4 linked regions of the Stegostoma tigrinum genome follow. The protein of the gene in region 4 purifies or fractionates together with the protein of the main gene of each other region. This does not show direct contact. Links are inferred from orthologs where the notes say so. Each region holds a gene or a part of one and is shown on either strand. Other genes may lie near its edges. The genes, in order: kifc1, mta2, polr3c and kpna2.

Evidence for each region.
Region 1: the proteins of kpna2 (region 4) and kifc1 purify together in Homo sapiens (co-immunoprecipitation; 4 studies listed by BioGRID and IntAct, with this or other methods). This does not show direct contact. The link is inferred for Stegostoma tigrinum from reciprocal best matches to the Homo sapiens genes KPNA2 and KIFC1.
Region 2: the proteins of kpna2 (region 4) and mta2 purify together in Homo sapiens (affinity purification with mass spectrometry; 4 studies listed by BioGRID and IntAct, with this or other methods). This does not show direct contact. The link is inferred for Stegostoma tigrinum from reciprocal best matches to the Homo sapiens genes KPNA2 and MTA2.
Region 3: the proteins of kpna2 (region 4) and polr3c purify together in Homo sapiens (co-immunoprecipitation; 3 studies listed by BioGRID and IntAct, with this or other methods). This does not show direct contact. The link is inferred for Stegostoma tigrinum from reciprocal best matches to the Homo sapiens genes KPNA2 and POLR3C.

The regions. Positions count from the first base shown.
Region 1 is NC_081387.1:28,152,329-28,159,351, reverse strand, and holds the start of kifc1 (kinesin-like protein KIFC1), read left to right. Parts: upstream 1-4,005; 5' UTR 4,006-4,079; intron 4,080-7,023. UniProt on the Homo sapiens protein: Minus end-directed microtubule-dependent motor required for bipolar spindle formation. May contribute to movement of early endocytic vesicles. Regulates cilium formation and structure.
Region 2 is NC_081395.1:3,146,366-3,154,086, forward strand, and holds the start of mta2 (metastasis-associated protein MTA2), read left to right. Parts: upstream 1-4,710; 5' UTR 4,711-4,794; coding exon 4,795-4,822; intron 4,823-7,721. UniProt on the Homo sapiens protein: May function as a transcriptional coregulator. Acts as a component of the histone deacetylase NuRD complex which participates in the remodeling of chromatin.
Region 3 is NC_081400.1:582,310-589,787, forward strand, and holds the start of polr3c (DNA-directed RNA polymerase III subunit RPC3), read right to left. Parts: upstream 3,020-7,478; 5' UTR 2,918-3,019; intron 2,356-2,917; 5' UTR 2,323-2,355; coding exon 2,176-2,322; intron 1,839-2,175; coding exon 1,583-1,838; intron 992-1,582; coding exon 806-991; intron 1-805. Other genes in the region: rnf115a (E3 ubiquitin-protein ligase RNF115), read left to right, coding at 3,170-3,247. UniProt on the Homo sapiens protein: DNA-dependent RNA polymerase catalyzes the transcription of DNA into RNA using the four ribonucleoside triphosphates as substrates.
Region 4 is NC_081375.1:10,522,335-10,530,059, forward strand, and holds the start of kpna2 (importin subunit alpha-1), read left to right. Parts: upstream 1-4,714; 5' UTR 4,715-4,805; intron 4,806-4,811; exon of another isoform or gene 4,812-4,952; intron 4,953-5,191; 5' UTR 5,192-5,219; coding exon 5,220-5,291; intron 5,292-5,392; coding exon 5,393-5,530; intron 5,531-5,616; coding exon 5,617-5,699; intron 5,700-6,991; coding exon 6,992-7,260; intron 7,261-7,725.

The sequences.
Region 1 (7,023 bases), on a different chromosome or scaffold from region 4:
CTGGAAATAGTTAGAATTGCCAGAGGCTTCGCTATCCTATTCAAATTGTTGCCTTCACTCTCTGAATCTGGCCAGTCTCCCATTGGCAGTACCATTGGATTCTATATATATAATACGTATATACGGTAGAGACCTGCTGGGTGGTGTCTGGAAAGAAGCGATATCACAGCAGCGTACTCACACTTCTGATTTAGGAACCGGAGTAAGCCATTTGGCCCATGAGCCGGATCCCTATGAGATCCCAGCTGATCTGATTGTTATTGACTCCACAATCCCACTTACTCTAAGTATATTTGAGCACCCCCCCCACTTCCCCCACTTACCAAGAATCTATCCACCTCTTTTTCAGAGACTTTCTTTACTCACCCATGGAATGTCGGTGTTGCTGGCTGGGCCAGTATTTTTGCCCAGAGGGCAGTTAAGAATTAACCACGATGCTGTGGGTCTGGAGTCACGTGTAGACCAGGCCAGGTAAGGATGGAAGTTTCCTTCCCTAAACAACATGAGTGAACCAGATGAGTTTTTCCCGACATTAGACAATGGTCGTTGTTGGACTCTTCATTCTAGATTCTTTATTGAATTCAAATTCCACCATCTGCCACGGTGGGATTCGAACCTGGGACCCCAGAACATTATCTGAGTTTCAATGTTGTGAGAAGCCTCCAGGGCTCTGGAACTGGGACCTTCTGACCGTGCGCACTCTGAGGTGGAAAACGGATAGCTGCAGTGAAAATGGCTATCAGTCACACGTCCGTTGTGTGCGAGTTGCTGGGGATTCTCGCTCGTGCCCCTTTCAGTGCTGTGAAAGCGTTCTTGTAGTGGGGCGGCGGTGTCCCTACTTTGAGCCAGGAGGCCCACTTGCTCTGGAGGTGAGCACTAACACATCTGAAAGGGCTGATGAGAAATCTTTTCAGTCCGAGCAGTTGTGACTGTCACTGTGTCAGGTGGTGCACATTTGCAGTGTGTAACTGTAGAAGGATTGGCTCCTGTTCTACCCTTCAGCAGCTGGTGGTGACCATCTCTCACCTGCATGACACTGGGTGAAGAATACTCAATGAAAGATCAGGTGTATATCACAGTAAGTCTATCATTTCATGACAGTTGGCTCAGCGGTTAGCACTGCTGCCAAACGGGGCCAGGGACCTGGGTTCGATTCCATTCTCAGGCGACGGTCTGCGTGGAGTTTGCATGTTCTCCCCGTGTCTGCTTGGGTTTCCTTTCATTTCCTCCCACAGTCCAAACGTGGACAGGTTAGGGTGGGATTGGCCGTGGTAAATTACCATTAGTGCCCAGGGATGTGCGGGTTAGGGTGGATTGGCCGTGCTAAATTGTCCCATAGTGCCCAGGGATGTGCAGGTTAGGGTGGATTGGCCGTGCTAAATTGTCCCGTAGTGCCCAGGGATGTGCAGGTTAGGGTGGGATTGGCCGTGCTAAATTGTCCCGTAGTGCCCAGGGATGTGCAGGTTAGGGTGGGATTGGCCGTGCTAAATTGTTCCGTAGTGCCCAGGGATGTGCGGGTTAGGGTGGATTGGCCGTGCTAAATTGTCCCGTAGTGCCCAGGGATGTGCGGGTTAGGGTGGGATTGGCCGTGCTAAATTGTCCCGTAGTGCCCAGGGATGTGCAGGTTAGGGTGGGATTGGCCGTGCTAAATTGTCCCGTAGTGCCCAGGGATGTGCGGGTTAGGGTGGATTGGCCGTGCTAAATTGTCCCGTAGTGCCCAGGGATGTGCGGGTTAGGGTGGGATTGGCCGTGCTAAATTGTTCCGTAGTGCCCAGGGATGTGCAGGTTAGGGTGGACTGGCCGTGCTAAATTGTTCCATAGTGCCCAGGGATGTCCAGGTTAGGGTGGATTGGCCGTGCTAAATTGTCCCATAGTGCCCAGGGATGTGTGGGTTAGGGTGGATTGTCCGTGCTAAATTGTCCCATAGTGCCCAGGGATGTGCGGGTTAGGGTGGGTTGGCCGTGCTAAATTGTCCCATAGTGCCCAGGGATGTGAGGGTTAGGGTGGGATTGTCCGTGCTAAATTGTCCCATAGTGCCCAGTGATGTGCAGGTTAGGGTGGGATTGTCCGTGCTAAATTGTCCCATAGTGCCCAGGGATGTGCAGGTTAGGGTGGGATTGGCCGTGCTAAATTGTCCCATAGTGCCCAGGGATGTGCGGGTTAGGGTGGGTTGGCCATGCTAAATTGTCCCATAGTGCCCAGGGATGTGCGGGTTAGGGTGGGATTGGCCGTGCTAAATTGTCCCATAGTGCCCAGGGATGTGCAGGTTAGGGTGGATTGGCCGTGCTAAATTGTCCCGTAGTGCCCAGGGATGTGCGGGTTAGGGTGGGTTGGCCGTGCTAAATTGTCCCATAGTGCCCAGGGATGTGCGGGTTAGGGTGGATTGGCCGTGCTAAATTGTCCCATAGTGCCCAGGGATGTGCAGGTTAGGGTGGATTGGCCGTGCTAAATTGTCCCGTAGTGCCCAGGGATGTGCGGGTCAGGGTGGGTTGGCCGTGCTAAATTGTCCCGTAGTGCCCGGGGATGTGCAGGTTGGGATGGATTGGCCATGGAAATGTGGGGTTATGGGGATAGGCTGGGGGGATGGGGATGGGTGGGATGCTGTTTGGAGGGTCAGTGCAGACTAGTTGAGTTGAATGGCCTCTTTATGCGCTGTAGGGGTTGAATCCAATCTGGCTGCTGCACACATGGTTCTTTCAAAGATATTTCCTGTTGATGAGGAAAAAACTTTTTGGAAAACAACTCCAGTACGATGGCGACAGAATGTTGGTGCAGTTCATTCAGGCACCAAGGACCAGCGCTGTACACTGTGTTTACATGATCCCCATGTAGTGTTTACAAAACCATGGGGTTTCCTGGTATCGTGGGTAGTGCCCCTGGCTCTGAGCTAGAAGCCCTGTCTTCGAGTCCCACTCTGCTAACTAAGGGAGCATGATTTTCTGTCTGTAAACTCCTCCCAGCTCACACCACGGGATAGAACCCAATAAATTCCTGCTCAGCCAGTTACAGGCAACTCTTGGCAGTTCCCAGCAGAGGGGAGGAAGGGTCTGAGGGGCTGAGTGCTGGAGCCTTCACATCGATTTACCCCTTAATAGGAACATCTTAGAAGGAGAAGGCACTATGTACAGGCTACTCTGTCCCAGGAATGTTTAATAGGGACATTGACAAGACAGCCTTATTTTCAGCTTAAAACAGTGGAGAGAATTTTACTTTCAGTTTAACAGTGTAGAGGGAGCTTCACTCTGCATTTAACCACTTGCTGTCTCACTCCTGGGTATGAGGGGGACAGTGTAAAGGAAGCTTCACTCTGTATCTAACCCTCCTGGGAGTGTTTGATGGGGGACAGTGTAGAGGAAGCTTTACTCTGTATCTAAGCCCGTACTGACCCGTCCTGGGGGTGTTTGATGGGGGACAGTGTAGAGGAAGCTTTACTCTGTATCTAACCCCATTCTGTCCCATCCTGGGAGGGTTTGATGGGGGACAGTGTAGAGGAAGCTTTACTCTGTCTCTAACCTCGTCCTGTCCCTGTCCTGTCAGTGTTTGATGGGGGACAGTGTAGAGGTAGCTTTACTCTGTCTCTAATCTCGTCCTGTCCCTGTCCTGTCAGTGTTTGATGGGGGACAGTGTAGAGGGAGCTTTAGCGTCAGTTTGAATGAGTAGAGGGAGTCTGAGAGGAGTAGCTACTGAGGCTGCTGAAGAGTTAGGGACAGGGTTATTTGGTAAGTGACTCCCTCTGGTATGAATGGACAAAGAGAAGGATTTTTCAAAGGGGTGAAACATTGAACTGTTAAGGGTGTTCTGATACAGGGATCACAGAAAGGTGGCCTGTAATCAGGATGGTGACAATGCAGGGGTGCTTTCAGGAATCTGTTCCCCCAGATCAGAGATTGTACAGAGACACGTAGCTCTCGGGAGGGAGCTCAACGCAAATTTAATTGGATGTAGTCTGGAACCACTCATGAACTAAACCATCAGATTCTGTCTGCAGAACCCAGGAGAGTGAGCCTCAGTCTGAATAGAAAGCTGTCTCATTTTCGGGAGCCTGTATACAGTTTGAATCAACCATTTCTGAAGTACAGGTAGCAGTTTTAATCCAGTCTTGGTCTTTAATGGGTAGGTCCTCAGTGACAAAACCAATGTTCCCAATGGCAGAACATTCAAAGTGCGGCATTTTAATGACTCAAGTTTGTGAATAGGTCCGGAGCTCAGAATGCTGCGTTGTCCTGGAGACCGGCCTCAGTTCCCAGGCATAGCTACTGGCTTTCTGTCTTCAGTCTTGAATTGGTCCCAGGGTGGCCAGCGATTCTCATCCATTCCCAGGGAACAGGACTCCCATCTCCAACATGTTCCAGTCCAACTCATTCACACACACACACACACACACACACATGCGCACACACACACACATGCGCACACACACACACATGCGCACAAACTCTGTCTCTCTCACACAGACACACACACATTCTCACACATGCACATGCACACATACCTCTCTCTCACACACACAAACTTTCTCTCTCACACACACACACACACTCACAGACACAGACAGACACACATACACAGAAGAAAACCGCGCACACTCACATAAGTGCAGATACTCAGATACTCGCACAAGCACACTGAAACATACAGACACATGCACAAACAGATACAGACACACGCAGAGACAGACTCACAGATACTCACAGACAAAGACACATACACAGATTCAGATGCTCAGACACACAAACACACACACACACACACACACACACACACGAGCAGACACTGTGACAGACACACATACTCACAGAGGTACAGATACTTACAGAATCAGATTCAGAGATACTCACCGAGGTGTAGAGTCTCAGAGACACACAAACAGATTGTTACACAGGTTAAGACACACAGACAGAAACACATACAGAGGTACAGACATTCAGGATCAGAAACACACAGACACACACATACATACATATACAGACACTCACACAGGTACAGACCCTTATAAGGACAGACATACTGATGCTCACGGACAGTGACAAATAGAGATATACACTCTCAAAGATACACACATACAGAGTTACACAGTGCCAATACACAGACAGAAACACACAGTGCTGACAAAGACTGACACGCACAGTCACAAACACACACACACAAGCCAGTTGACGGTTGACACATAATCACACAGGGAATGGTCTTTGCCATCTAAAACATTGTAAATCCTTCAGTCCGGAGCACTACCATTTGGGAATATTTGGCATCCACAAATGTTTTGAATTGAGTCTTGCATCTTTTCAGTGTAGGTTCCCTGGGAGCAGGAACAGGTAGAGGTACAGGAAAAGGTTTTAAATACTGGTCTATAATCTGACTGTCTGAAAGCTTCAGGTAATATAGATACCGGTGGTGCGTCCCACTCTCCACCTTGCCATTGAGCATCGCAGCACCCTCCGATCACTGAGGAAAGTGGTTCAGTGCCAGGTACTGACTCGGAGGCTGTGTCAGCGCTGTGCCGGGGTGAGAAAGGGCTGGAGACCGTACCCTGTTGCACAGGTACCAGTTACAGCTCGATCACCTCCTCCTCCTCCGGCTGTTCGGACAGGTAGCTGGCCAGGTCCCTGAGGAAGTTGAGGACGGCTCTCCAGTTGGTGATGTACCAGATCTTGTAGATTACCTCGAGTGAGAGAACCACCAGCAGCAACACTAACAGGCACAGGAAGACCCGGTCAGCACACAATATCACCCTATGTTTGAGGCTCAGGTTTTCAGGAGCAGGGCTCGGCTCAGGCTTGGTCTTCCTGTTAGTCTTGTGGTCATCCTCAGACTCCTCAGAAATGGGGTCTTCGACATTCTCTTTCTTTTCCATTGGCCTGGCACCCTTCGCCAGCCCAACCTGAGCTTCAATCTGTCGGCGAGGTGTGGGGAGATGGGTCTGCTGCCTCTCAGATTGCCAGCAGGATGAGCAGGGGATTGACCTGGAGCTTCTCCTTGATACACTTCACAGAGTCAGCACGCTTTAAAAAGCCAGCTTAGAGTCATTAACCAGGATCATCCTGTCCTCTTCAATATGGCGTGTGGTGGGGGCGGGCGAACTGCAGCTATGACACCGCGGGCTTGTTGTTGTTGTATTGTCATGGCAATATGTGTGTTTCTTACTGTACCGAGGGCTGTGGAACTGGCGAGGTCTGCTGTTGGTGATGGGCCAAGTTGTTGTTGCAGTAGTGGTGCTGCCTTGTTAAGAGAGCCAGGTTGTTGTACCGAGGGTTGCTATAGCCCCGGGTTGTTGTTGTAGTGAAGGGGTAGTTGTTGTATTTTGTAGGGCCGGGTTTTTGTTGCAGTGTCAGTTTGTTGCTGCAGTAGCGCAGGGTTGTTGCTGTAGTGCTGGGTCACTATGGTAATGCAGGGTTGTTGTTGTAGTGCTGGGTCACTATGGTAATGCAGGGTTGTTGCTGTAGTGCTGGGTCACTATGGTAATGCAGGGTTGTTGCTGTAGTGCTGGGTCACTATGGTAATGCAGGGTTGTTGCTGTAGTGCTGGGTCACTATGGTAATGCAGGGTTGTTGTTGTAGTGCTGGGTCACTATGGTAATGCAGGGTTGTTGTTGTAGTGCTGGGTCACTATGGTAATGCAGGGTTGTTGTTGTAGTGCTGGGTCACTATGGTAATGCAGGGTTGTTGCTGTAGTGCTGTGTCACTATGGTAATGCAGGGTTGTTGTTGTAGTGCTGGGTCACTATGGTAATGCAGGGTTGTTGCTGTAGTGCTGTGTCACTATGGTAACGCAGGGTTGTTGTTGTAGTGCTGGGTCACTATGGTAATGCAGGGTTGTTGTTGTAGTGCTGGGTCACTATGGTAACGCAGGGTTGTTGCTGTAGTGCTGGGTCACTATGGTAATGCAGGGTTGTTGCTGTAGTGCTGGGTCACTATGGTAATGCAGGGTTGTTGCTGTAGTGCTGGGTCACTATGGTAATGCAGGGTTGTTGCTGTAGTGCTGGGTCACTATGGTAACGCAGGGTTGTTGTTGTAGTGCTGTGTCA
Region 2 (7,721 bases), on a different chromosome or scaffold from region 4:
ATGGGGTGGGGGTTCGGGTGGAGTTGGGACTGGGTGGGGATATGGGGTAGAGTTGGGACTGGGTGGGGGTGGGAGTAGGACTGAGTGGAGATGTGGGGGTTAATTTGGAACTGGGTGGGGTTGGAGTTGGGATGGGATGGGGATGTGGGATGGGGTTTGGGACTGGATGGAATGGGGGTGAAGTTGGGACTGGGCTGGGTGAGGGGTGTGAGGTGTGAGGTGGGGGTAGAGTTGGGACTGGACCGGGAGATGGGGTGCGGGTGGAGTTGGGACTGGGCTGGGTGAGGGGTGTGAGGTGGGGGTGGAGTTGGCATTGGGTGGGGGTGAGGATGTGGGGTGGAGTTGTGACTGGGTGGGGGTGGGGGTGGGGGTGTGGGGTGGAGTTGGGACCAGGTTGGGATGGGGATGGAGTTGGGACTGAGCTGCGTAAGGGGTGTGAGGTGGGGGTGGAGTGGAACGAGGTGGGGGTGGAGTGGAACTGGGTGGGTGGTGGGGGGTGGAGGTGTGGGGTGGCATTGGGACCAGGTTGGGGTGGGGGTGGAGTTGGGACTGGGTGCGGATTTGGGGTGGGGGTGGAGTTGGGACTGGTTGGGAGTGGGGGTGTGGGGTGGTGTTGGGACTGGTGGGGGTGGGGGTGTGGGGTGGTGTTGGGACTGGTGGGGGTGGGGGTGTGGGGTGGAGTTGGGACCAGGTTGAGGTAGGTGTGGAGTTGGGACTGGTAGGGTGGATGAGGGGTGTGAGGTGGGGGTGGAGTTGGGACTGGGTGGAGGTGTGGGGTGGAGTTGGGACCAGGTTGAGGCAGGGGTAGAGTTGGGACTGGGTGGGGTGGATGAGGGGCATGGGGTGGGTTGGAGTTGGGACTGGCTGAGGTGGATGAGAGGTACGGGGTGAGGGTGGAGTAAGGACTGGGTGGGGGTTGTAGTTGGGGTGACTGGGTGCGGGTGTGGGGTGGCATTGGAACCAGGTTGAGGCGGGGGTAGAGGTGGGACTGGGTGGGGATGGAGTTGGGACTGGGTGGGGGTGGGGTTGTGGGTGGAGTTGGGACCCAGTAGGGGTGGGGGTGGAGTTGGGACAGGGTGGGGGTGAGAGCGTGGGGTGGAGTTGGGACCAGGTAGGGGTGGGGGTGGAGTTGGGACTGGGTGGCGGTGGTAGGTGGGGAGGAGTTGTGACTGGGTGGAGTTGGGCTGGATGGGGATTTGGGGTGGGGATGGAGTTGGGACTCGGTGGGGTGGATGAGGGGTATGGGGTGGGGGTGGAGTTGGGACCAGGGTAGGGTGGATGAGGGGTGTGGGGTGGAGTTTGAACTGGGTGGGGTGGTGGTGGAGTTGGGAGTGGCGTGCGGGTGGAGCTGGGACTGGGTGGGGTGGTGGTGGGGGATATGGTGGGGACAGAATTAGGACTGGGTATGGGTGAGGGTGTGGGGTGGTGTTCGGACGAGGTAGGGTCAGGGTGGAGTTGGGACTGGGTAGGGTGGATGATAGGTGTGGGTGGAGTTGAGACTGGGTGGGGTGGATAAGGTATGTGGGGTGGGGGTGGAGTTGGGACCAGGGTAGGGTGGATGAGGGGTGTGGGTGGAGTTGGGACCAGGGTAGGGTGGATGAGGGGTGTGGGTGGAGTTGGGACTGGGTGGGGTGGATGAGGGGTGTGGAGTGGGGGTGGAGTTGGGACCAGGGTGGGATGGATGAGGGGTGGGGGTGGAGTTGGGACTGGGTGGGGTGGTGAGGTATGTGGGGTGGGGGTGGAGTTGGGATGAGGGGTCTGGGGTGTGGGTGGAGTTGGGACCAGGGTAGGGTGGATGAGGGGTGTGGGGTGGGGGTGGAGTTGGGACTGGGTGGGGTGGATGAGCGGTGTGGAGTGTGGGTGGAGTTGGGACTGGGTGGGGTGGTGAGGGGTGTGGGGTGGGGGTGGAGTTGGGACTGAGTGGGCTGGTTGAGGGATGTGGGGTGGGGGTGGAGTTGGGACTGTGTGGGGTGGATGAGCGGTGGGGGTGTGGGCGGAGTTGGGTCTGGGTGGGGTGGATGAGGGGTGTGGGGTGGGAGGGAGTGGGGACTGGGTGGGGTGGTGAGGGGTGGGGGTGGATTTGGGACTGGGTGGGGTGGAAGAGGGGTGAGGGTGGAGTTGGGACTGGGTGGGGTGGTGAGGGGTGTGGGGTCGGGGTGGAGTTGGGACTGGGTGGGGTGGTGAGGGGTGTGGGGTCGGGGTGGAGTTGGGAGTGGGTGGGTTGGTGAGGGGTGTGGGGTGGGGGTGGAGTTGGGACTGGGTGGGGTGGATGAGGGGTGTGCGGTGGGGCTGGATTTGTGACTGGGTGCAGTTGTGGTGGTGGGGTGGCGTTGGGACTGGGCAGGGTTGATGAGGGGTCTGGGGTGGGGGTGGAGTTGGGACTGAGTGGGCTGGTTGAGGGACGTGGGGAGGGGGTGGAGTTGGGACTGGGTGGGGTGGATGTAGGGTCGGGGTGGAGTTGGGACTAGGTGGGGTGGATGAGGGGCGGGGGTGGAGTTGGGACTGGGTGGGGTGGTGGGGTGGTGAGGGGTGTGGGGTGGGGGTGGAGTTGGGACTGGGTGGGGTGGATGAGGGGCGGGGGTGGAGTTGGGACTGGGTGGGGTGGTGAGGGGTGTGGGGTGGGGGTGGAGTTGGGACTGGGTGGGGTGGATGAGGGGTGTGTCGTGGGGGCGGAGTTGGGACTGGGTGTGGTGGATGAGGGGCGGGGGGTGGAGTTTGGACTGGGTGGGGTGGATGAGGGGTGTGGGGTGGGGGTGGAGTTTGGACTGGGTGGGGTGATGAGAGGTGTGGGGTGGGGGTGGAGTTGGGACTGGGTGGGGTGGATGAGGGGTGTGGGGTGGGGGTGGAGTTAGGACTGGGTGGGGTGGATGAGGGGTGTGTGGTGGGGGTGGAGTTGGGACTGGGTGGGGTGGTGAGGGGTGTGGGTGGAGTTGGAACCAGGGTAGGGTGGATGAGGGGTCTGGGTGGAGTTGCGACTGGGTGCGGTGGTGGTGGTGGGGTGTGTTGGGACTGGGTGGGGTGGATGAGATGTGTGGGGTGGGGGTGGAGTTGCAACTGGGTGGGGTGGATTAGGGATGTGGGGTGGGGGTGGAGTTGGGACTGGGTGGGGTGGATGAGGGGTGTGGGGTGAGGGTGGAGTTGCGACTGGGTGGGGTGGTGGTGGTGGGTTGGAGTTGGGACTTGTGGGGTTGATGAGGGGTCTGGGGGGGTGGAGATGAGACTGGGTGGGGTGGTTGAGGGATGTGGGGTGGGGGTGGTGTTGCGACTGGGTGGGGTGGATGAGGGGTGTGGGGTGGGGGTGGAGTTGGGACTGCGTGGGGTGGATGAGGGGTTTGTGGTGGGGGTGGAGATGGGACTGGGTGGGGTGGATGAGGGGTGTGGGTGGAGTTGGGACTGGGTGGGGTGGATGAGGGGTGTGGGGTGGGGGTGGAGTTGGGACTGCGTGGGGTGGATGAGGGGTGTGGGTGGAGTTGGGACTGGGTGGGGTGGATGAGGGGTGTGGGTGGAGATGGGACTGGGTGGGGTGGATGAGGGGTGTGGGTGGAGATGGGACTGGGTGGGGTAGTGAGGGGTGTGGGGTGGGGGTGGAGTTGGGACTGGGTGGGGTGGGTGAGGGATGTGGGGTGGGGGTGGAGTTAGGACTGGGTGGGGTGGGTGAGGGATGTGAGGTGGGGGTGGAGTTGGGACTGGGTGGGGTCGATGAGGGGTGGGGGTGTAGTTAGGACTGGGTGGGGTGGATGAAGGATGTGGGGTGGGGTGGGTGAGAGGTGGGGTGGAGTTGGGACTGGGTGGGGTCGATGAGGGGTGGGGGTGTAGTTAGGACTGGGTGGGGTGGATGAAGGATGTGGGGTGGGGTGGGTGAGAGGTGGGGTGGAGTTGGGACAGGGTGGGATTGGGAGCCTGGGGTGGAGTTGGGACCAAATAGGGGTGGGGCTGGAGTTGGGACTGAGTGGGGTGGATGAGGGGTGTGGGGTGGGGGTGGTGTTGGGACTGGGACTGGGTGGGGTGGTGAGGGGTGGGGGTGGAGTTGGAACCAGGGTAGGGTGGATGAGGGTGTGTGAGTGGAGTTGCGACTGGGTGCGGTGGTGGTGGGGTGAGTTGGGACTGGGTGGGGTGGATGAGGGGTGTGGGGTGTGGGGTGGGGGTGGAGTTGGGACTGGGTGGGGTGGATGAGGGGTGTGGGTGGAGTTGGGACTGGGTGGGGTAGTTAGGGGTGTGGGGTGGGGGTGGGGTTGGGACTGGGTGGGGTGGAGGGTGGGGAAGAGTGACTCCCGTCGCCGGCCCCGCGCGTGCGTCCTGGTGACAACCGCCAAACGTCCCTCGCGCACATTCCCGCCTCCGCGCCGGCTGCCGCGCGCTCCCCCGACTGCGCGCCGGGCAACGTCACGCCGCCGCGTGCCTGCGCTCACTCCGAGTGCGCACCATCGCGTCACTCTGTCGGGCGCTCGCGCTCACCCCAAGTGCGCACGCTCGCTTCACTCAGGCGCGTGCCCGCGCTTATTCCGTCCGAGCACGTTGCCGCGTGACTGCGCGTTACCTCCCCTCTTCGTCCCCCGCCGCGTGCCCGCGCACTGCCCTCCTCCCCCCCTCCTTCCCTCCCCCGGTAGGGGCTGGCCCGGGAGGGGGAGGGAGGGTTCGCTCTTTCCCCTCGACAGAGAAGGAGGGCCCGGAGTAAGAGGAGGAAGAGACCTCCCTCTCCCTCCGCCCGTCTGCCCGTGTCTGCTCCGGGAGGGAGGGACGGCGATCCGCCAGGGAGAGGAGCTCGGCCTCAGGGAGAGAGACCGGGAGGGCGACATGGCAGCCAACATGTACAGAGTGGGAGGTGAGTGAGTTGAGTGAGTGAGTGAGGGTGGCCGGCCCGGCGCTCAGCCATCGCTGCCTCTCTCTGTGTGTGTCTCACCGGAGGAGGGAGGCTGGGACTGGGGACAGAGAGCCTGAGAAACAACAAAGTGCCAGGCAGCAGCTATAAGCCAAACTTTACAACAAGAGGCAGACATGGAAGAGGAAGACAGCAGCTCGAATCAGTGCACCAAGGTGGCGGGGTGGTGGTTTGGGCTCAGACTACAGCCGGCAAGTAGGGGAGAGGGGCTGAGAGGCCGAGGGGGCATGGGCGGGTGGAGGCAGTTGGGGGAAATGTGGTGGCCAGGGACTTGGGCATGTGGGTTATTGGGAGCCAGGGGCCATGGGGGATGGGCTAGGGGGCCCAAACAGGACCCATGGATAGGGCAATGTGGTGGGTTGGGGGCAATGGCCAGATTGAGGTAGTTGGGGTGAAGGGTCATACAGGGGCTGTGGATGGGCGGGGGTTCGGCAATGGGACAAACAAGGGCAAGGTACAAGCAGGGTAAACAGAAACCAGGGCTAAAAAGCCCACTGGGGCAGAGGCTAGGGTGAGTGGCCAAAATCTGGGGTGAACTGCAAACCGAGGCCCAAAACAGGGGCCAGGTGTTAACAGAGCTTTGGGGGTACAGGTTAGCATGGGATTTGGGGATCAAGGCAATTGGCAAACTGGCACCAGAAATAAGATTACAAGCAACTAGGATTTGGGGGTTGGGATGTTAATTGAATCAGAATTTTAGATTTTGGGTAGTTGGGTGTGAAGGGCAAGCCAGGTCTGAACTGGGACAGGATGGGGCGGGGGAGCTCAGGTAGGGTTTTGGGATCAGGCCAAGGGATAAGTGGTGGCTTAGTGGGTCAAGGATTGGGACACGTGCGGAATTCTTGTTTAGAGATCAGACAAGTGAATGGAGAGGCAATGGACAAGTGGTATTGTCACTGGACTGTTAATCCAGAGACCCTGGATAACATTCCTGGGACCTGGGTTCGAATCCTGCCATGGCAGATGGTGGAATTTGAATTCAGTTAAAAATATCTGGAATTAAGAATCTAACGACCATGAATCCATTGTTGATTGTTGGGAAAACCCATCTAATTCACTAATTTTCTTAAAAGAAGTAAACTGCCAGCCTTACCCGGTCTGGCCTAAATGTGACTCCAGACCCACAACAATGTGGTTGACTCTTAACTGCCCACTGAGCATTTAGGGATAGGCAATAAATACTGCCTGGTCAGTGACACCCTCATCCCATTAACTAATGATAAGAAAAAAGAGTAAAATGTCCAGTGATTATGAGACGGACAAGTCAGTGTTTGGGAATGGGGGCGAGAAGTGATTTCGGAGCTTTGGGATCACAATAAAGGGTGAACATTTGGGGACTGAGGTGAGGGACAAACTGAGGCCAGAGACCAGGGCGAGGGCAGTCCAAGATGAGAGGTGCACTCAAGTTTGGAGGTGGAGGTGATGATTAAGTTGTGGGCTTATGATTAAAGTTAGGAGTAAGTCAGTGTTTAGGGATCAGTGGAGGGCTCTGTGGTCAGGAAACATTAAAAAGAGGGTCAGCATGTAAAGGTGCTGAACAAATATTTGAAATTGAAATAAGGATGGCATAATGACAAAATTTGTATGATAAGCTAAAGAAGGATTTCAAACACAAGAATACTTGCCAAATAAAATTAGGTAATAGTCAAAAAGGGGTTTGGAGGTGGGGGTATGTTGTCAGATTTTTGTAGATTTTGGCAGAAGTTCAGGTTGGGGGAGGGGGTTTGGTGGGCATGTTTAGTTGTATACCTCATTGGGATAGACCTGGCACAAGGAGAGTTGGGTTCTCAGTGATAAGCAGCAATCAGGAAATATGAAATAAAAGCCAGAGATTAGAGGCTAAAACTGACAAATGTATACGTGAAATTCTTACAACATGCGGGCAAGCTGAGGAAAGAGGTGAAACTGCTGGAATGAAAGTCGAGATGAGTCAGGATAGAGGCAACAGCAGTCATTTTGGGGTGGGAATAATAACATACAGTCAGGGATAAAATGGAAGGAAGGAACATTTCAAGGTTTAAAGATCAGTGGATCAAAAAGGCTCTGATGTTGTGTGGAGTAAGAGCTAAAAAGAATCAAGGATGTATCAAGCCAGAGCCATACAACTCCATGACCACTGTGTTTGGGGGTTGGGGAGCATGTGGAGGTGTAGTTTGTAAGTTTTGTGAACTGAGGTTGACTTTTGAAAGGTTCCTGTCTAAAATCCCAGTCAGAAAAACAAGATGCAAATTCTCTGTTCAGAGCAGCTGTGGCCCTAATAATGTACCAAAAATCTCTCTCAACCAACTTGAATCCTGACCAAGTACAAGAGACTGCTGAAGGACCAGGGACAAATCATAGTTGGGGAACTTAAAAATTCACCTGGTATGGACAACTTGTCAAGAAAACTTGTGGTTGGGTCGCGGGTGCTTCTGAGTCGAGGGGATGTTTGTGGTTTTACAGAGTGAAGAAGATACAAAATTTTGATGGCCTCACTGCCCATGAGAGGGAATCGGAAAATTAAGGAGCGACTGGCTTTTGACTGTGACAGGATGCCAAAGGTGGGGGCATGTATAGAGTCTCGAACAGCTGTGTGTCTTTGCAGTCTATTAGCCTTGATGTGGGCTGGGGGTGTTTCTTTCAGTACATGCTGGCGACGTGCTCTGCATGTTCACGGACCCGGCTGACTTACGGAGGATGCGCAAGTGCCAGAGGTCTACCCTGTGGCATCGTCCTCGGCAAGTATCAACTGGAGTAAATTTTAGGGACCTTTGGTCGCTCACTGGCAGGTGGACTCCCTCTAAAGGAGCTCTGGTACTTCGTGTGCGATACCATTCAGCCTCTCTACCTGGGAGTCCATCTT
Region 3 (7,478 bases), on a different chromosome or scaffold from region 4:
AGCCTTCTGCTGGAACCTTTCTCTCTACAACTCCCTGGTCCACCTACAACACCACACCACACTGCCACAGCACCTTCCCCTCCAATCACAGAAGGTGCAACACTCATCTGCTTCCTTCCTCGCTTCTCACTATCCAAAGTCCTCGGCACATCTTGCAGCGATTTACTGCACTTCATTCAATCTAGTCAACTGTATTCACTGCTCACAATGAGGTCTTCCATTCTGTTTGTAAAAGTGACCCTGAGCTTCCCCACCCTGCCATGTTCCCTGGCCGAAATCTCTGTGTCAGGCTTGCTGCAGTGCTCCAGCAAAGCTCAGCACAAGCTGGAAGTAGAACACCTCATTTTCTGCTTAGGGACCCTGTAGGACTCAATACTGAGTTCAATAAGTTTCTATGTCCTTTAGCAAATCCCACACCCCAGGACCTATCATGGCAAAGGCTGCTTTTAGCAGAGCCAACATTTTCATTCACTTATCACTCACCCAGTTATCAGCTTTTCTTTCTCTCTAGTTTACTATCAGCCATCTCGTTGTCCCTCAGAGCTCCATCTCCACCAATCCTCTCACTCCTTCTCTTACTCTACCACCCCATTCCCCCATCTTCAGCATACAGACCACCTGCTCCCAGTTACTATCGGTTCGGAGGAAGGTTCACTGGACCCCAAGCGCTGACTCTGCTTTCTCCTCACAGATGGCGCCAGGCCTATTGGGTTTCTCAAGCAATTTCTGTTTTTGATGAAGGAAAAGCTTCCCAGCTTTGGACAAGCCTTGAATGAAAGCAGAGAGCAGGTTTGTGACACCTTACCAACAACACTGAGATGGGGCACAGTGTACATCTCTTTCTCATCAGTGACCAGTGTTGGAGCATGAGGGGGCTGCAAGCCTTCAGCAACCACACACTCAGAGACCAGGGCACATTTCTGCAGGAAGTGGGTCTGCACCAATCGGATGAAGGTATTCGAGGTCTCACTGTGTTCCCCGGTTTTACTGTCTGTGCAGAGGAAGAGCCAAGGACGTGAGAAACACTACCCAGATGAAGCATTAGCCAGTAAGACTGTGCTCACCATTCAGAACAATAACAACCCCACCCCCTCACCCCCTGCCTACCGTACACAACTCCCCCTCCCCCCTCCCAGCCCCAGCATACATGACTCGGCCTCCCCCACACAACCCCACCGTCCGCAACTTCCCCTCCCCTCACCCCCTGTCCACCGTACACAACTCCCCCTCCCCCCCCAGGCCCAGCGTACACGACTCCCCCTCCCCTCCACACGTGGGCTCCCTCATCCCCACAGTATGCAGGCCCCCACCACACACACCACCTCCTCCCACCATCCCGTATGTGGCTCCCCCTCCCCCCACCATACACAACTCCTCCCCTGTACAAGACCCCCTCTTACACATCCCCTCAGTCTGTACACATGCAACCCCCACCCTGATCCCAGTATAGTCTTTGCTACTGATCTTTCCTTCGTCACAAACTCACATATACTCCCTGCCAGGATCCTCTTTCCCCTCCCCTCCCCTCCTCTACATTCGAATGCTAGTTGCAGCCTCCATCTCTTCCTTCATGCACTCTCACCTTCCATTGTTTCTCTCAGCCTGTCGGCCACTTTCTTCACAACTGCACTCATTGTCATCTTGCCATTCTGCAGCAGTTCCTCCACAATCAGCTCCCCTGTGTCTCCGTACAGTGTCTTAGCTGAGTAGATATAGCGTGGGTATCGCAGGATGCGAATGATGTGTGCACAGTGCACTTCATACTCTACAAAGCCCCTCTTGTGCACATGATAGGAAGCAAAGTTGTGGTGGATCAAGACGCAGAGAGCTTTCTTAACCTGGAACATTGCAGTACGACAGTCAAGGTCCCTGTACACCAAACTTTCCCCTCTACATGTACCACTGACACCCGTCTGCTAGCCAAGGCCCAGTTTCCAGCCATGCTGTGATCTCACCATGTCCCACTCCTCATCCTGTCAATGGCACACACAGAGTCTGGAAATTTATGTGGCCAGCTATAGTAAGCTTTTCTCTTAGCTATGGAAGAGTCTGATCAGCTATCTCAGATTGGTGCCATTCCTTCAACTCCCATCAGCCCTTAGCAGCAAACTGCACCACCACACCCCCTCTCTACCAGCACCCACCCGCCACCCCCGACCCCACACAAACACACACCTGATCAATCGGCGTTTCAGTATCTTTGGCAATTAGCCGGAGAGGCTGGCATCCTGTGCGAATTAGGTGGGTGCCAACTTTGGCTACAATTTCACCGTAGTGTGCCTGGAGCAAGCAGGAGCAGATCTGTGACTCAACGTGTGTCATTCCTGATTAGGTTCAATCTCATCAGAGTCCGTCCTGCAAAACCACATGAATCACTACTAATTCAGTAACAACTTCGAAGTCAGAGACTGCTAAAACAATACCTTCAGTCTGAGGAAAAGAAAACAGCAGGAAAAAATGTGAAGGGAACAGGAACAGACAGTGCAGCAGAAACTCAGAAATTCCGGCAGTGCCTGGCAGAGAGAAGCAGAGTTAAAGCTGTCAGTCTGAATCTGACAGGTTCTGAAGGGGACTGGAAACAGTGACTCTGCTTCTCTGTCTCCACAGTTACCGGTGGAGCTGCTGAGTTTCTCCAACACTTCACTGTTTTCATTGCAGACTCCCAGCATCACAGTATTTTCATACGAAGTGGGCTAGTGACATTCAGACAGCCGACAGGAACAGGATGGAGGGAGCTTCACTCTGCATCTAACCCCGTGCTGTCCCTGTCCCTAGGGGTGTTTGATGGGGGACAGTGTAGAGGGAGCTTTACTCTGCATCTAACCCCGTGCTGTCCCTGTCCCTGGGAGTGTTTGATGGGGGGACGGGGGGTGAGGGGACATCGTGTAGCCGAAGCTTTACTAAAGCTAAAACTCACTGCAATCTACGAAGTGCTCTCCCTCCTTCTATTTCCCTCCTGGGACCAAAGCCCCCACTTCCTCACGGTCCCTTTCCGGTAGTGATGGTCTTTATGTTCCGGATACTTTGGTTCCTACTGACCCGATACCGCAGGAACATCCGGTTTGTGCCCCGCACCAAGATGGCGGCGTGCCCCCAACCTCATAAATTCCAGAGTCCACTTCCGGGTAGCTCGGGGCTTTCCGGGAGGGCGCTGACGTCAGCGGATAAGATGGCGGAGGCGGCGGCTGTGTCTCCGCTTCGCTTCTTCTGTCACTGCTGCAAGGGAGAGGTGTGCCCCAAGCTACCGGTAAGACAGGCCCCGAGCCCAGCGTATACTGCCTCGTCCCCCTTGCTCCGGGAAACTGCTGGTCTTCACCGGGGAGGAATCACTATCAGTCAACCCGAGCCTCAGGAGGGGGAGGGGGATACTCCGCAATCTTAACCCAATCCGCCGCTCCTCATGGTCACCATGGAGACTGATCCCCCCACCCCCCCCCATGGTCACCATGGAGACTGATCCCCCATCCCCATGGTCACCATGGACACTGATCCCCCCCCACCCCCCCATGGTCACCATGGAGACTGATCCCCCATCCCCATGGTCACCATGGACACTGATCCCCCCCACCCCCCCATGGTCACCATGGAGACTGATCCCCCATCCCCATGGTCACCATGGACACTGATCCCCCCCCACCCCCCCATGGTCACCATGGAGACTGATCCCCCATCCCCATGGTCACCATGGACACTGATCCCCCCCACCCCCCCATGGTCACCATGGAGACTGATCCCCCATCCCCATGGTCACCATGGAGACTGATCCCCCCAATCCCCCATGGTCACCATGGAGACTGATTCCCCCCATCTCCGTGGTCACTATGGAAACTGATACCCCCAACCCCACCATGGTCACCATGGAGACTGATTCCCCCCAGCCCTCCATGGTCACCATGGAGACTGATCCCCCAGCCCACCATGGAGGCTGACCCCCCAGCTCTCCATGGTCACCATGGAGACTGATCCCCCAACCCTCCATAGTCACCATGGAGACTGATTTCTCCCATCCCCATGGTCACCATGGAGACTGATCCCCCCCCCAACCCCGCCATGGTCACCCTGGAGACTGATCCCATCATTCCCATGGTCACCATGGAGACTGATTCCCCCCACCACTGAAGACTGAAGGAGACTTAACACCCCGCTACATCCCATGGGGACTGAACACGCGCCCCCGACATTCCCAGGGTCACCATGGAGACTGAACCATCCCTCAGTGCTCATTGTGGTGACTGTCTGTTCCCCTTACCCCTCCCACAGTCGCCATGGAGACTGAGCTCTCCATACCATGGTCATCATTGGAGATTAATCTCCCCCATCCCATGGTGACCATCTCCATGGAGACCTCCATCTCCCATCTCCTCCCAGTCCAGAGCTGACAGTCTTCAAATACATTTTATTCCTCCTGGTGCAAAGCGAGTCCTAGCCAAGGCTTTCCTCCAATGAATTATGTTCTTGCGTTCAAACATTGGCCCAGAGTTATGTTTGCTTTTGCAAGGGTTGAGTGTGATGGTTGTGTTGATTATGGCCCTTGTAATAGGATGGGTACATCAAATTACTCAGTGAGCAACTCAGTAGTGGTCTGAATAATTGTGCAAAATTTGATGGTGACTGTATTGTGGAGACTGACTAAATGCTTGGACTGCCTTAAACAGTGATGCTTATGGAATGTGGAACAGGCTGTAATTCTGGATGTTAAAAATATGAATGAGTTTAAATAATAATGATGTTAAATCGATATGCTCTTAAAATTCTAGTTTCTAACTATCTGTTTTGATGTCAGAAGGTCCTTCACACTGTCAACCAGTAACCCATCTCCCCCCGAACCCATGTTACTGACTGCATCTCTTCTGATATCATCAAACTCCCTTGCATTGTCATTCCGTAACCCTTCTTCTTCCCAGCATTAAAAATGTAACTGACTGTATCTCCATCAAAAGTGGTCCACCTCCCACTTCCCCAGCGCTTGGTGTTCCTGATTCTATCTGTACTGATAATAATCCAGTTACAGTCACTCAGTAACAATTCCGCCGGGTAGTGTCCTAGGTCCAACAAGCTTCAGTGACTTCATCAATGGCCTTCCCTTCATCATAAGGTCAGAGTGGGGACATTAACCAATGCTTGTGCAATGTTGAGCACCATTTGTCACTCAGTAACCCCTCACCCCGAAACAGTCTGTGTCCAAATGCAGCAAGACCTGGACAATATCCAGGCTTGAGCAGAAAAGTGGCAGATAATGATCACGCCACATAAATGCCAAGCAATGAGAGACAATCTGCCCACTGCCCCTTGGCATTTCCATCACTGAATCCCCTGCTGTCAACATACTGAGAGTTATCATTGGCCAGAAACTCAGCTGGATTTGCCATATAAACACTGTGGCTAGAAGAGCAGGTCAGAGACTAGGAATACTGCTGCAAGTAACTCCCCAGGGACAAGGGCAGCAGACAACGTGGAAACACCAACACCGTCTGCAAGCTCTGCTCCAAGCCACTTACCATCCTCGCTTGTAAATATATCACTGATTTTCACTGTCACTGGGTCAAAGTCCTGGAACTCCCTCCCTAACAGCATTGTGGGTCTATCTGTAGCAGCTTAAGAAGACAGCTCATCCAACACTTCTCAAGGGCAACTAGGGATGGGCAACAAATGATGGGCGAGTCAGCAACACCCACATCCAATAGGTGAATAAAATTAAACTGTTTTCCCCAGCGCCCTGTGTCAGTGACTGTATCTCTGCTGATGTTAATCCAGCACTCTTAGTATCTTTAAAATTATTAATTGGTCTCTCTGTCCAAGTCACCTCAGATGTATTCAATGTGTTAGTGTTACTGTTTTTATTTTGCTTTTGCTGAGGTTCATCTTAGTTTGATTCCTTCCATTTTATTGATGAGCAGCCTACAAGATTTAATAATTTCCACTGAATTTCCTGTCTCTGAATTCAAATTGGACTCAGTTGTTATCTGATAGAAGATTTTCAGTTCAGTTTGAAACCAAGGTGGAACCAAGTCTTTGGAAACTGGTCACAGTTCAGCCTTCCGGGGTTTGTAAGATAGAAATATCTGTATGTTGAAACTTGATTAGGCTCTCAGGCCAACTCTGCTGAAAGAAATAGGGAGAGACTTATAGAATCTTGGGTTACTTTCTATTGACCACTTCAGTCTGAAAAACCGAAAACTAAGTCCAGAAAGGATTGATAAGCCGCCAATGGCAGAGAGCTCCCAAAATTTTGTCAAGCCTGGTTATTCCAGCAAACAAAGGTCATAAACCATTTCTCATGTCGCTCAAAACATTGCTGGTCTTTTCTGCAAAGTCACTTGTCGTCTGAAAACAGCAGGCCATAAAATCACTAACATCATTTCCAAGAAATCTTGGGGTAAAACACCTCTTCAAATCAGAATCTATATAATTTCTGGTTTTCCTTCAGTCCCTAAGTATAAATTTGCATTTGTAACGTTACTGTGGATGCATTTTATTGTTTCTAGAAGGTGATGGTGAACTGCCATCTTGAACTGTTGCAGTGCGTGTGCTGTAGGTTGATCCATAGTGTCCTCAGAGTAGGAATTCCAGGATTTTGACCCAGTGACAGTGAAGGAACAATGATATATTTCCAAGTCAGGATGGTGTGTAGTTTGGAGGAAAATTTGCAGATGGTGGTGACCCCATGTATCTGCTACCCTTGCCCTCCTCAATGGAAGTGGTCATGGGTTTGGAAGGTACTGTCTAAAGATCTTTGTTGAATATCTGCAGTGCATCTTGTAGGTAGTACACACTGCTGCTGCTATTCTCAGTGGATGCTTGTGGATGTAGTGCCACTCAGAGGTGCTGCTTTGTCCTGGATGGTGTCAAACTTCTTAAGTGCTGTTGGAGTTGCACGAATTCTGGAAAGTGGGGATATTCCATCACACTCTTGACTTATGCCTTGTAGATAGTGGACAGGTTTTGGGGAATTGGGAGGTGAGTTATTCACTGGAAGATTTCTAGTCTCTGACCTGCTCTTATAGTTGCAGAATTTATAATGCTGGTCCAGTTCAATTTCTGTTCAATGATAACCCCAGGATGTTGACTGCATGGCATTCAGTGATGTTAATGTCATCGAATGGCAAGGTTGTGAGCAGATTGTCTCCTATTTGAGACGGTCATTATCTGGCATTTGTGTGATGTAAATGTTATTTGCTACTTGTCAGCACAAGCTTGGATATTATCCAGAACTTGATGCATTTCAACATGGACTGCTTAAGTATCTGAGTAGTCATGAATGGTGCTGAACATCCCCACTTCTAACCTCATGATGGAGGGGAGGTCATTGTTGAAATAGCTGAAGATATTTGGGCTTAGGACACTACCCTGGAGAACTCCTGCAGAGGTGTCTTGGAGCTGAGTTGACTGACCTCCAACAACCACAACCATCTTCTTGTGTGCCAGGTTTGACTCCAACCAGCAGAGAGTTTTCCCCTGATACCCATTGCTTCGAGTTA
Region 4 (7,725 bases):
TAAGAGCTTAGGTGGTGAGGAATTTGTTAAATGTATTCAAGAAAATTTTCTTTATAAAAATGTAGATGTACTTACGAGAGAAGGTGCAAACCTTGATCTTCTCTTGGGAAATAAGGCAGAACAAGAGACTGATGTGTTTCTGGGGGAGCAGTTTGGGACCAGTGATCATAATTCTTGAACTTCCAGAAGTTGATTGGAATAGACTATTTGCAAGTAAAGGGATGACTAGTAAATGGGAGACTTTCAGAAGTGAGATTATGAGAGTTCAGAGGCATTATGTTCTTGTTAGATTGAAGGGTAAGGCTGGTAACAATGGATGAATAAAGATATCAAGGCTTTGGTCAAGAATAAGAGGAAATCATATATTGGGTATAGACAACTGGGATCTAGAATCTCTTGAAGAATATAAGGGGTGTTGGGGCATTCTTGAGAGAGAAATCTGGAGGGCAAAAAGAGAGATGAGATAACATGAGATAACTTTGGCAGATAAGATTAAGGTTAATCCAAAGAGATTCTACAAGTACATTAAGAGCAAAAGAGCAGCTACTGAGAGAATAGGGTCCCTTAAAAATCATTGAGGTCATCTATGTGTTGAACCACAGGAGATGGGAGAGATAATAAATGTGTCAGTTTTTACTGTGGAGAAAGACATGGAGGCTTGGGAAATAAATTTTGATGTCTTGAAAACAATCCATATTGTGGAAGAGGAGGTGCTGGGGGTCTTAAAAAAAACACAAAGATGGATAAATCTCCAGGCCTGATGAAGTATATCTCAGGACATTTTGGGAAGTTAGGGAAGAAATTACAGGGCCCCTAGTATAGATATTTATATCATCTGCAGCCAAGGATAAGATGCCAGAGGACGAGATGGTGGCTAATGTTGTGCCTTTATTTCAGAAAGGCTGTAAGGAGAAGCCTGGGAACTATAGATTGGTAAGTCAGATATCAGTGGTGGGCAAGTTTTTGGAGGGGATTCTGAGAGATAGGATTTACATGCATTTGGACTAGGATAGATCGTTCTGTTCAAGATCTGAGATCATAGATTCCCTACAGTGTAGAAGCAGGCCATTCAGTCCATAAAGTCCACACTAATCCTCTGAAGAGCATCCCACCTAGACCGAGCCCGTACCCTATCACGAAATTTCCTTCCCCAGACATCATGGGCTATTTAGCATTGCCAATCCACCTAACCTGCACATCTTTGGACTGTGGGAGGAAACCCACACAAACACAGGGAAAATGTGCAAACCCCGCATGGACAGTCACCCAAGGCTGGAATTGAACCCAGGTCCCTGGTACTGTGAGGCCACCATGCTGATAGTTCCGTTCAAGATTAGGAATGGTTCTGATCAAAACTATTCAAGATGGCAGCAGTGGATAAGCACTGTCTGGGATTTTGTGCCCAGATCTCATCCATTCTGCCAGCTTTCCTTTTTCTGTTTTTATCTTCTTTTCTCTTTTTTTAAGTAGTTTCTTAATTACCTTTTGGATGCTGTGGAGGCAGCGGCAGCAAAAGAACATGCCAGTGGCTGGGCCCCAATGTGACAGTGAGACAACAATTGGCAGCTAGCGGCAAAGGATGGTGGCAGCAGTGATGTGGTGGTTGCGGCCAAAGCCTTGTGAGTGCTGATGAAGCCTGATGTGCCTGGGCAGGTCTTGGCCCAGCACAGCGTAAGCATTCCCAGCGCTAGGGAGAGTGATGTGTCTTGGGGAAAGCCCAGCTTTAAGCATCTGTAGGCCCATAGCTTAAGACTGTAATGCTTGACATTTTAACTTTATTTTTCTATTTTTCAACATTTATGCTAAGTGCACTGTAGTGCTGAACTTTTTAAACTTATTACTTTATATTTCTATTTCTGTAACTAAAATTTTGTACCTAAGTACTTTGTACATAAGATGGCACCATATGTGGTGACGTTGTACACTTTTCACTGTGCTCTTGTGCCATGTACTTGAGTACACATGACAATAAAACCTAAATCTAGATCTAAAATCAATTGTTTGTCATTTATATAAACTATTTGGATGAGAATTTAGGAGGCATATTTAGTAAGTTTGTGGATGACACCAAAGTTGGTAGTGAAGAAGATTATCTAAGAATACAAAGGTTCTTGATCAATTGGGCCAATGGCTTGAGCAGTGGCAGATGGAGTAAAATTTGAATAAATATTATTGCATTTTGATAAAACAAACACAGGCAGCACTTATACACAGGCAGCACTTATACAGTTAATGATATGGCCCGGAGTAGTGTTTTCGAACAGAGAGACTTAGGGATCTAAGGATTAAAGTTCTTTGAAATTTGCATCACATGTAGAAATGATGGTTAAAAAGGTGTTTAGAATGCTTGCATTCATTGTTCAGACCACTGAGTATATCATGCTGAGGTTGTACAGGGTTTTGGTGATTTGATTTGATTTATTATTGTCACATGTACCTTGGTGCAGTGAAAAGTTTTGTTTTGTGTGTAGTACAGGCAGATCATATCATACAAAGTGTATAAGGGTAATAGAACAGAACAAGGAATACAATGTTATGCTCAGAGAAGATACACAAAGAACACGATTAACATTAAATTTAAAATTTGAGAGATCCATTCAGAAATTTAACAACAGTGGCGAAGAAGACATAGTAAGAACTGCTGATGCTTGAGTCTGAGATAACATAGTATGGAGCTGGAAAAACCTGAAGATTTCTGAAGAAAGCTCCTGACCCGAAATGTTAGCTTTCCTACTCCTCTGATGCTGCTTTGCCTGCTGTGTTCTTCCAGCTTCACACTATGTTAATAGTGGGGAAGAAGCTGTTCTTGAATCTGTTGGTTCATATGTTTAAGCTTTTGTACCTTCTGCCTGATAGAAGAGGTTGGAAAAGAGTATAACTGGGGTGGGCTTTGATTATGTTGGCTGCCCTCCCGAAACAGTGTGAAGTATAGATAGAGTCAATGGATGGAAGGTTGGCTTGCACGATGTTCTGAGCTGTGTCACAACTCTCTGTAGTTTCTTCTAGTTCTGGGCAGAGCAGTTGCCATACCAAGCCATGATGCATCCAGATAGAATGCTTTCTATGTTTCATCTTTAAAAATTGGCAAGAGCCTTTATAGACATGCCAAGTTTCCATAGCATCCTGAGGAAGAAGAGGCATTGTTGTGCTTTCTTGACTGTTGTATCAACATGGATTGTTGGTGATTGCCACGCCTCGGAACTTCACTCTTGGCTATCCCTAACTCAGCACGATTAATGTAGATAGGGGAGTGTCCTCCACCTTGTTTCCTGAAATCAATGACCAGCTCTTTCATTTTTCTAATGTGAAGGGAAAGATTGTTATCTTCACACCATGCTACCAAGCACTGTGTCTCTTTCCTGTATTCTGTCTTGTCATTGTTTGAGATCCAACCTATAGTGGTGGTGTTGTCAGCAAACTTGTTGATGGAGTTAGGATGAAATTTGGCCACGCAGTCACAAGTGTACAGGAATTATATTAAGATGCTAAGGCATGTTTTTGGAGGACTGTCTACAGTACTGGACTTCCTTCTATAGGAAGAATATTGTTAAATTGGAGATGGTTGAGAAAAGATTTGCCAGGATAGATGAGGTGAATAGCAAAGGTCTTTTCCCTGGGGTGGTGGAGTTCAAAACTGGGAGGAAATTTTAAGGTGAGAGGAGAAAGATTTAAAAGGAACCTGAGAGGCAACTTTTTCATACAGAGGGCGTTTTGTATGTGGAATGAACTACCAGAGGAAGTGGTTGTTGCAGGTATAGTTACAACATTTAAAAGACATTTGGACAGGTACGTGAATAGGAAAGGGTTAGAGGGACATGGGCCAAATGCAGGCAAGTAGGACTAGCTTAGTTTGGGAAATGCGGTATGCGTGGGTGAGTTGGACTGAAAGGTCTGTTTCTGTGCTGTTTGACTCTATGACTCAATAACTGTTATGGACTGTCCTACACTGGTGTGTAGCAGTATGACAATGAGCTACACTTGAGGCCATTGTTCCTTGCACTGAATGAGAAAAACAGGGTATTGTTAGTGATATATTTCCACATCTCTCATATGTATGGCAACAAGTGCCACAGCCCCACCTCATGCCCCCAGAGTTATTACACGTTGACCCTGTGCCAAACTATTCTTTAAATGTTTTGCCAGGAACTGGTCTCTCAGGAAGTTTTGGTGGGGTTGTGGTTAATAGTAGGACCAAGATATGAAAATCAACTTCAAGGAGAATCACTCAGTGTGAGGTTGCCACTGGTAGTGGGGGAATGGGGAAGGACCAAGCACAGACTCCTTTGCCGTAAAAGTTCGAAGGCACAGGACATAAAACTATGTTATCCTGTATGAATTACTGAGCGGTCAACCACACATAACTTGAGAGGTTTTCCGAAGACGTTGCAAAAGAGACAAAGACGTGACTTTAGTGAGTGTTTCCAGCAATTTTTATTCCTAAATCAGCAGTATTTTTAATACCACGTGGAAGAACAAAAGAGTAAAGAGGAAGTAATGTTTCGAGCTCCTTTAACGCGCAAAACAACAAAAGACCGCGCCAGAGACGGCGCTATGCACGGAGTAGTATTTTTAATATCCTTTACTTGATTGGCTGCGCGGTTGGTATGGGAATCCATCCAACCGCATCCTCAGCTTCTTTCAAATCAGCCAATTGAAATATTGCTTTGAATCGAATGAACCAATGGGAGCCGGGCAACTCAGCCGGTTTAAATAGCTGGAGCGGCTTCCAAGCTTGCATTTCTGTTGGTAATAGTGTTTTACTAGCGGAAGGTTATAAGTTGTAAACGGCTTGCTTTAATATTGCAGTTAAGTGCACTTTGTAAATCTTGTGATTAGTTCAACTGCTGTTCTCGTTTAATAGCGATAAGTTTTTTTTCCTTTTCACGACTAATTAAATTCCAGTAACCTTAACGGAAAATCTCCCCTTTAAATCTTTGTCTCAGCTTCCGCAAGTATGTAAGACTTGTTCATCTTTCGCTGTAAATGACTTTTGTCTAAACAGGCAATTAATCTAAATGCTGAAACGTAATTGTTGCTAACTTTTTAATCTGGATGCAGTGTAATTTTTTTAAAAAGAACAAAATTGTTAATTTTTCTACGTTGTAGCATCTTTCCAAAGTGTCTAAAAATCTTCCCCGCCTGTCGAAGCACGCTTTCTGTGACTAACTCTTGTCTACTTTGTTTCGTACAGTTTTTGCCAAGTTAATTCAAGTTGAAATATGTCAACCACGGCCAACGAGAACGCCTTCAGCCGCCTGATCAAGTTTAAGAACAAGGGGAAAGATGCTAATGTAAGATGGTATTATTTTAAGCTTTTTCGTAACTTTTATCATCGCCATCAATACATGGCCTAATTTTGGTTCCATTTTCCCTCTCCACTCCTTTTTAAAAGGAGTTGAGACGCAGGAGAATTGAAACCAATGTTGAGCTGCGGAAAGCTAAAAAAGACGACCAGCTGTTTAAAAGGAGGAACGTGAACAATTTTCCTGATGAGAATGTATCTCCACTTCAAGAAAAGAACAATATCCAGGTACTGTATTCTCGAAGGAATCCTGTTTTAAAATTCATGACTTGCTTTTTGGCTACTAAAAACTTTGCTGTTTTCATGAAAATCAGGTGCCTTTGAATTTGGATGAAATAATCCAAGGTATCCAGAGTAATAATTTGGAAACTCAACTCCAAGCAACTCAGGCTGCCAGGTAAGAATGGGTGTCTCCCATTGTAGTTAGAAATTTTAAATGTAAAATACCTTGAGTCTTTTGAAAGTAATGCAGAGAATTCAAGCACCAGTTATGGGACACTGGGATATGTTTAAAGGAACCAGTCCATGTCTGTCTGCAATCGCGATACTGGGAGTAAAAATACTTGTATCTTGTCACTTCAGGACTATATTTGAGTGGGTTTTTTGTGTAATAGTGCTATACTAATTTTTTTCAAACTGGCTGTTGGAGTTTTAAAAAATGGATTTGCCAATTTTGGAGGGAATGATATTTCACTAGTGATTTTGGAGTCTATTTTTGGTTCACGTGGCCAGTGTTCGGTCAAAATGAGGCTGTCTAGCACTACCTCCTTCATGTAATAACTGAGCCCTGATCTGATTCCTGCATATGTTTGGGTTTCACTAAAACTTGAGGCTTCGTTTTGCCCATTTCTATCTTTTGTAACACTGACTCTAGTTCCAGACTCCAACTTTGCACCCTATCTTATGCCTTGTTTATATACTGCTCAGGTTGCACCTCAGCCTGTGCTCTTGTGAAAAATCTTTTGTCTAATCCCTTGCTAAAGCTAATGTATTCCGATCCAGCCAGCATCAGGTAAAAGTGATAATGGGAACTGCAGATGCTGGAGAATCGTCAGCTTTTGTGCTCCTGAGGTGCTGCTTGGCCTGATGTGTTCATCCAGCTTCACACTTTATTATCTTGGGAACTGCAAATGCTGGAGAATCCATTATCACTGATACAATTTTAACCTCACTGCAAAGCCTCTTCCAGGGATGCCTAACCTGAAGTAGTTACCCTCCTCCCTCTGGAGGATGAAGGGTCTAGGCCTGAAACGTCAGCTTTTGTGCTCCTGAGATGCTGCTTGGCCTGCTATGTTCATCCAGCTCCACACTTTATTATCTAGTATCAGGTAAAATCTTTTTTGCACCTTCAAAACTTCCACATCTTTCCTATAGAGTATCAGAACTGCACAAATACCATTTTAGGTCATGCAAGATGCTCTCCAACCTACAATTGACAAAATTGACTTTTCACCAGCTAATTGGTAAGGTAGTCCAATTGTATAAAGTTCTTTATCTTAAACAATTGTTAATAATGAGGGATAATACCTAGGATTTTTTGGACCAAAATTTTAAGAACTGATTTTAGTCTTTTCTGTGCTCTTTCTGGCCAGAGGGTTGATTTCACAACCATTCTGTTGGTGTTTACATTGTATTACAAGTCAGACAATAGTTGTCAGTACACTTTTTTAAGCTGCTTTTTCTTTTCAGGAAGCTGCTTTCTAGGGAGAAACATCCTCCCATTGACAAAATTATTCAAGCTGGGCTCATCCCCAGATTTGTGGGATTTCTTGCTACTTTTAATTGTAGCCCCATCCAGTTTGAAGCTGCATGGGCCCTCACCAACATAGCGTCTGGAACATCTGATCAGACTAAGGCTGTTGTTGATGGTGGTGCAATACCAGCATTCATCAATCTGTTGGCATCTCCACATCCACATATCAGTGAACAAGCAGTATGGGCTTTAGGAAACATTGCAGGTAACTAACTACTTTTTAAATATAGAAATGTTCGTTCTTTGCAAAATGGAGCATGTAAATTGGCTGACTGTTGCCCTAGTAGAACAGCTAGTAGAAATTAACGTTTTTTAAAAAAAAACTAATTAATGTAATGTGGAAATCACTGGCTATATGGCACTTTATTCTTTCCTCCTGCCTTTCCCCTAACACCCTTGGACATGGCAGTGTACAGCCTTCAATGACTGAAGTCTCTAATCACCTAGTGTTAGAAAGATAGTTTTTCAGGGTTTTGATTCAACAATCGAGCTTAAACTCTGGGTAGTATGCCTTGAAGAACTCTTAAGGGTTATGGAGAAGGGCAAAACTGCTCAGCAGGTTCAAATTCTAAATTGGGGTAAGCCTTAATTCTATGAAAATTTGAGGAGCTTTCATGGATTGACTTTTGAGTAGTTTGCAGACAAAGGGACTCCTGGCAAGTGGGAGGCC